Linked DNA regions of Macaca fascicularis. The protein of the gene in region 2 purifies or fractionates together with the protein of the main gene of each other region. This does not show direct contact. Links are inferred from orthologs where the notes say so. Each region holds a gene or a part of one and is shown on either strand. Other genes may lie near its edges.

Region 1 (3,828 bases), on a different chromosome or scaffold from region 2:
GCATGGTGGTGCATACCTGTGTTTCCAGCTACTCAGGAGGCTGAGGTGGGAGGATCACTTGAGTCTGGGACATTGAGGCTATAGTGAGCCATGATTGTGCTACTGCACTCCAGTCTGGGCAACAGAGCAAGACCCTGTCTCAAAAAAGCAAAACAAAAAAAACCAGAAATGATCATTTGGCTTTCAAAGAGTTTAAACTTCAAAATTATATTCAATTTGCATTTATTTTACCTTATATGACCTTACTACATTGAAAAAGTGGAATATCTGTCAATATACTGCATTTATATTCATTTAATACCATTTATGGAAAACGTAACTATTATGAAATCCCTGTATACATAAGGATTTGTTTCTAAAGTCAGCAGAATATAAAATTATTCAAGAGTAACCTCTGAAAATACTGTACATCGCACATAAAGAACAGTATTTAGGCAAAGTATTTTAAAAGTCCAACTCTGCTAGTTTTTCTTGTGATCACCAGTTGATCGATCACAAGATGAAGTAATCGGCACTTGTTTATAGGAATCACGTTGCATAAAATATTCGTGACTTGAAACTAGTCTGGCAGGATGTGAAAGCATGGAAACATTAAGAGAATAGCAAATTCACCTGTCCCATTTGACTCTCACTCCAGAATATACACTCATTGATTGGAATATTGTGTGGAATTGCCTACACAATTTAAATCCCCAACCCCCTCCTTTCTCTGTTCCTTGCTGTCTCTCTCTCTCTCTCCAGAACACATAAATGTGCATGTGACGTTCTACAGCTGTTCTAGGCATTAGGGATACAGAAAAGAATAATTTAGGGTTCTGCCCTTAAGGAACTCATAGTCTGTAAGTGTCCCCTTGCTGGGACACATTACAAGTTTTCCCTTTTGAGCCATATCTAAGAAAGTAGTTTCTATAGCATGGAATAGACATGCTGACTGTAAGGTTGAAAAACTAGTGGAAGAAGTGACATGTAAGTGTCCTTTATAGACTATGCAAGTTTTACCTAAAAATTGTCAACTCAGGGTTTCTGTGCCTGTAAGTTGAATATTTGCTAAGCCTAACAGAAGGGTAAATTGTATTTGTGTTTATTCTTTCAATCCTGTGGATAATGGTTAACTATACCCCTTGGATGTGATAAAATTCTTTGATGGTATCTAAGTTGTTTTCTGCTGTAGCAATACCTGAGACTGGGTAACTCATAAAGAAAAGAAATGTATTCATTTCTTACAGTTCTGGAGGCTGGTTAAGTCCAAGTCCATGGTGCCAGCATCTGGCAAGGGTCATCCATGGTGGAAGGGCAGAAGATGGAAGAGTGAGGGAGGGCAAGAGTGTGAAAGGGAAGAAAAAGGAGTCGAACTCCCAAAATAAGTAACCCATTCCCATGATAATGGCATTAGTCCAGGGCAGAGCCCTCATGACCCTGTTGCCTCCCAAAGGCCTCAGCTCCTAACACTGCTGCAGTGGCAACCAAGTTTCCAACATGTGAAATTTTGGCAGATACATTCATACCATAGCTGTTGGGAACAACCACTGTCATTTGAGTAAACTATGAGGTTGAGAAACAGGACATTATCTATTGAATTGTAGTTCTCAATTTCCCACAAAGTAGTCCTGGAATGTTGGACATGACTTAACTGTCCTGTGCCTTTTTTTTTTTCTATTTTTTTTTTTTTTAAAGACCGTCTTGCTCTTGTTGCCCAGGCTGGAGTGCAATGGCACGATCTAGGCTCACTGCAACCTCCACCTCCCAGGTTCAAGCGATTCTCCTGTTTCAGGCTCCAGAGTAGCTGGGATTACAGGCACCTGCCAACACGCCTGGCTAATTTTTGTATTTTTAGTAGAGACGGGGTTTCGCCGTGTTGGCCAGGCTGATCTCGAACTCCTGACCTCATGTTCCGCCCACCTCGGCCTCCCAAAGTGCTGGGATTACAACTGTGAGCCACCATGCTCCGCCCTTTTTTCTCATTTTTAATAATAAGAGACTATCCTAGGTGACCTCTGAAATTCCTTTTAGTTCTAATATCCTATTATTCAAGAACTAGCCATTGCCATTGATCAACAGATAGAATTTTAGCATCTGCCCTGTTTACATTTTGTTTTTATTGGCTAATATTTTTTGTACCAGAATACTAAAGAATATTTATTGTGAAAGCTATTTCTTATTTTATAAAAAATTTTAGATGGTTAAGTTTATATGTACACTGTACCTTAAATAAGAATTATAACATGTCGTTTAACTTCCATGAGACTATTTTCTTATCTAGAAAATGCAAATAATAGTATACTTCATGGTTGTTGAGAAAAGCAAATTAGATTTGAAATAGATTATGACAGAAATTATAAATTGCTATTTAAATTTTGATTGTGGGGTAACTAGCTTGTAATCTTTAACAAGTCACAAGATGGACAGTGACTCCATTTTTTTTAGTTACTTTTTCATTTACATATGAATAATTTTATTGTAGGACTAAAATGTAGCAGCTGTGAACCTTTTCCAGATGGAGCCACGAACAACCTCTCCAGATCAAATTCAAATGAGAGTAATTTCTCTGAAAAACTGAGGGCATCCACTGTCATGTACCATCCAGAAGGAGAATCCAGCACGACGCCCTTTTTTTCCACTAATTCTTCTCTGAATTTGCCTGTTCTAGAAGTAGGCAGAACTGAAAATACCATCTTCTCTTCAACTACACTTCCCAGACCTGGGGACCCAGGGGCTCCTCCTTTGCCGCCAGACCTGCAGTTAGAAGAAGAAGGAACTTGTGGAAACTCTAGTGAGATGTTTCTTCCCTTAAGATCACGTACTGTTTCACGACAATGACACTTTATTGCCTTTTAATTTTTAATGATGACAAAAAATGTTTTAAAAAATATGAATCTTTTTATAAAATGGCTGTAATGATTTGTTTACATTTGATACATGTCTTTTAAAATGCGATGTAAGCATACTTTGTAAATAGGATTTTTAGAATTAAAAAAGCATGCTTTTAAGATAGCTAATTGTAAATCATGTTGATCATGTACTTTTTAGTAATTTCTTTTTTTCCTTTTTAAGGTCTTTCACTATTTTTTAAAATATTTTCTATTTTAAGACTGATTTTAATAGGGAATATATCTCTATTTGAGAATAGACTCTTACTGGGAAGAACATTTTTTCCTCAGTGCATTTGTGCTTGAAATTTTCAGTCTAATAGTCTTTGCCAGTCATTCAGCAGCAAATTTTCAGCATTAAGCTGTTCCTGTTCAGTAATAAAACCAATCACTGATGGGAAAACTGCCAATATAGAAAAATAAAAATAAAAAATCTCTTTTCCACTCCATATAGGCACTTAAACAGCCTTTTTTTGAGACCGGAGGAACACTTGATGGAGTATGAGCCACCTCAGATCTCAGTTTGCCAACATTCATTTCTAATTAACATTACTAATTATACTACTTTGTTAGGATTTTCACATTCTTGGTTTAATCATTTTCATTCTTAAAGACAAATATCTTGGCCTAAACCTCAGTTATTAGATGTAATTTGATGAGGTATTTTTCTCTCTCTTTTTTTTTTTTTTTTTTTGAGACAGAGTCTTGCCCTATCGCCCAGGCTGGAGTGCAGTGGCTTAACCTGGGCTCACTTCTACTTCTGCCTCCCATGCTCACGTGATCCTCCCTCCTCAGCCTCTCAAGTAATATAGCTGGGACTACAAGTGCGTGCCACCATGCCTTACTAATTTTTGTGTTTTTTTATAGAGATGGGGTTTTGCCATGTTGTCCAGGCTGGTCTTGAACTCCTGGGCTCAAGAAATCTACCCAGCTTGGCCTCCCAAAGTCCTGGGATTACAGA
Region 2 (3,828 bases):
GTTGAATGTCTTACAAAATTAATATTTTTATATTTGCCAAGAAATATTATGCTTCTGCTAATTTTTTTTTTTTAAGACAGAGTCTCACTCTGTCACCCAGGCTGGAGTGCAGTGGGATGATCTCAGTTCACTGTAACCTCTGCCTCCCGGGTTCAAGTGATTCTCGTACCTCAGCCTCCAGTGTAGCTGGGATTGCAGGTGCCTGCCACCACGCCCGGCTAATTTTTGCATTTTTAGTGGAGATGGGGTTTTACCATGTTGCCACACTGGTCTTGAATTCCTGACCTCAAGCGATCCTCCTGCCTCAGCCTCCCAAAGTGCTGGGATTACAGGCATGAGCCACTGCACCCGACCACTTCAGCTAATTTTGAAAAGCACTAAATGTTTATCTTAATTTGGGCAGGACTAATCCAGCCATTTGTAGACTGGATATTTCAAATGAGTATAAACATACATATAATCAATTTACTTTTAATATATTGTGAAGTATAAATATTTCAAATGAGTATAAACATACATATAATCACTTTACTATTCATTTAGCATACAGAGAATGATCAGAGATATTGTAGTGAAAGGCAGGTTGATATAAGCAAGAGGAAGGCGATTACTAGTAATCTACCAAGGCTCAAGTGGACAAGGGTCAGGAGCCTCTCAGTCTACTGAGGTCAAGTAAGTCCATCTCTCCTCACAGCTCTTAGCTACTCTCTTCAAGTCTTCTAAGATTCTTGAAAACACACTAATGTTGGCTGGGCGTGGTAGCACTTCAAACTCCTGAGGTTAGGAGTTTGAGACCAGCCTGCACAACATGGTGAACCCCCGTCTCTACTAAGAATACAAAAATTAGCTGGGCATGCTAGCATATATCTGTAGTCCCAGCTACTAGCAAGGCTGAGGCGTGAGAATTGCTTGAACCCAACCGGCGGAGGTTGCAGTGAGCTGAGATCACACCACTGCACTCCAATCTGGGCAAGAGAGCCAGGCTTCATCTCAAAAAAAAAAAAAAAAAAAAAAGAGAGAAAAAAAAGGAATCAAAATAAGTTAAGATGCCACATTTATTAATCAATATTAACCCATTTCCCCATTTGGAAAAAAACAGTGCAGCTTGTCGCCAGTGCAGTATTCTCAGGGCAAATGGGAAACGAGCTGAATAATAGCAAAAGTTTTGATCATGAAAAAATGTAATTTTAGGCCACATGATTTAGATGAAAAAGGAGAATGTGAAAAAAGTATTTTGAAGCTGGTATTTTAGTTTGTACATTAAGTTTCTTACCCACATGATAAAAACCCACACTTGCAAGCTGATCCGGATTAATTAGAACGCTAGGCGGCCAGTTAAACAATCAAAAGGGTAACATATCACATTAAAATGCTGTGTGGCAATTAAAACACATGAGATGAGACTATACTTACCCTGATTTAGTATTGTAACCTGCCTGGCATTTCTAAACCCCTCTTTGTTCTTTTTATTGATTGTACTTATTTTCCAACATGCTCTATAACTTATTCAAGTTTTTATTAATTGTCTGTTCTCTCCTGCTATAATACAAACTTAGGCGACCAGGGGTCTTTGTTTTGTTCAACTGATTTTATGCACCCAGAACAATGCCTGGCAATAGGTGATCAATTGTTATTGAATACTGAATGAATGGAAATATATCCAAGACATATGTTGACTGAAAAAAACTTCAAAACTAAATAGAATATTTAATTTATGTAAAATTGTGTACATTTATTTCTATATGGATATTTATTTCTATATGTATATGTATTGTATACATTTATTTCTTTATGTCTGGAGCGATGTTCACTAAAATGGTAACCATGTTCATCCTCAGGTGGTAAGATTTCTGGACAGTTTAATTTTCTTTCTCTGTACTTTTCTACAATGTGTGACTTTGTTTTTATAATGAGCATGTATTATTTAAATATATATATTTCTTTAAAAATTAAACAAAAATCCCCAAATATATTTCTTCATTAAGTCCATCAAAACTTTTTAAGTATTTTGCTAAGTAATCCATCCTAAACTTATTCACAAATATATATTTGGAACGGAGTAAAGTAACAGCTGATTTAAGGTAAACACATATAAGCAATCTCATGATAATCACAAGAATTTGCAAAGAGAATTTCAAAACAATTACCTTGGAAACCACTTGGCATGTTCCACCCATGGATCATCTCCAGATTCCCAACACCTGAGTCCACCATCACAGCAAAAGCATTTGACATCATCACTGTTACCTAAAATTAATTTTGGACCAAAACATGAATACACACAATTTGCCCACTGAAATGTATAAAATGAAATGTATTTTTTTTAAATTAGCAGATTCAGTTTCTTACCCACATAATAAAAACCCGCACTTGCAAGCTGCTCAGGATTAACTAGAACACTAGAGGGCCAGTTAAAGAATGTTTTAAAGCGGGCTGCATGTGTCTGCATGCTCAGATTAGAAACTGTGTATCTCGAAGTGTCTTGAAGCTGATTTTCGATAAATGGGCATTTGGGAAAATGTCTCAGGTGTTCTGACATTGCATTATCCTTCGGTTCCCAGTTGCTCAATTTTCCGCCACAGGCAAAGCAAGCCACTCTGTCTCCAGGTCCAACGTAGTAAAAGCCTGCTTTTGCCAGATCTGTTGGCGACAGAAAAGTCAATGGCCACGTCTGAAAAGTAAGTAATCTGGCTTTTTCATTATTCATTGCACAGTGGTAGGAACTTCTCATCAAGGCAGAAAAATCTTGATTTGCTCTGGAGTTTACAGGATTTGATGGAAAGCTTGAATAAGAGCCACTGAAATATCCACTGTTTTCTGTACCCGGAAGTAATGAATGTGTGGAATTTGTTACTGAAGAAGGAAAAGCAGGCTGAGAGGTAGCTTCCGAGTTGTTAACTGAATTTAGACTCTGAACGAATCTGCAGCTAGGATACAACTTTTTATGCTTTTCAACAGGACTGTCTCCTCTTTTCCAGTTATCCAGCATCAGGCCGCAACAGAAGCATTTGACCTTGTCATTCACACCAGTGTAATAGAAACCAGCGCGAGCAAGACTCCTTTCTGAGACAGGAACCCCAGCAGGAAAAGCAGAATACGTAGACATTCGGTACAGTTCACATGACAAGTCGTATTTCAGTTCAAACGTGTTGGCACTTTTCATCAAATTTGATAAGAATATGCTATTTTCTACTATGTTCATGATGAAATGAATGGGGAAGAAAAGGGACTAGCCTTTCTCTGGGGAGGTAGTTTTGTGCATGGCTTTGCTTTTATTAGTTTTAATACTAGGTTGAAAAGCCAAAATGAAAAAATTTTTAATTATTTTTATTTCTATGCATTTAGAGTTTCAACATGGAAAGATTCTAAATCCTATACTGATACATTTTAAGGAAGAAATAAACAATTGCACCTTTGTATAATCTTTATACATACAATGTAAACATGATGCTACAGAGTAAGCTGTGCTGAAGATTAAAACCCTTCACAGAAGAGTAAAGTGTATTAGGCCATCAGGATGCCAGTTAATGGCAGGCATCTCCACAGGTAGGTCAACTTCTCCAGGCTACTAGAATGTTTCAGTGGCATTCAATCAATCTGAAGATGTAATGTGTGACTCATGAAGCTTCTTTACATGGTGGAAAGCTCTGCTCTCAAGTGTTTCACAGTAAAAATATTCAGAATATGTTTATTTTGCTTTTTGGAAATTGTGAAATTTAGTAGCCAGGAAAAAAAAGCATAACACCTACCTCAAAGGAGGAAAAGAATACATTACCATATTTCACTAAATTCTAAGATGGCTATTTTAAAACTTCTGTTATCAAGAAG

What was found.
Region 1: the proteins of BIRC3 (region 2) and BCL10 purify together in Homo sapiens (affinity purification with western blotting; 5 studies listed by BioGRID and IntAct, with this or other methods). This does not show direct contact. The link is inferred for Macaca fascicularis from reciprocal best matches to the Homo sapiens genes BIRC3 and BCL10.

Annotation. Positions count from the first base shown.
Region 1 is NC_088375.1:149,370,932-149,374,759, forward strand, and holds part of BCL10 (B-cell lymphoma/leukemia 10), read left to right. Parts: intron 1-2,461; coding exon 2,462-2,817; 3' UTR 2,818-3,828. UniProt on the Homo sapiens protein: Plays a key role in both adaptive and innate immune signaling by bridging CARD domain-containing proteins to immune activation.
Region 2 is NC_088388.1:101,334,609-101,338,436, reverse strand, and holds part of BIRC3 (baculoviral IAP repeat-containing protein 3), read right to left. Parts: 5' UTR 3,203-3,828; coding exon 2,350-3,202; intron 2,248-2,349; coding exon 2,148-2,247; intron 1-2,147. UniProt on the Homo sapiens protein: Multi-functional protein which regulates not only caspases and apoptosis, but also modulates inflammatory signaling and immunity, mitogenic kinase signaling and cell proliferation, as well as cell invasion and metastasis.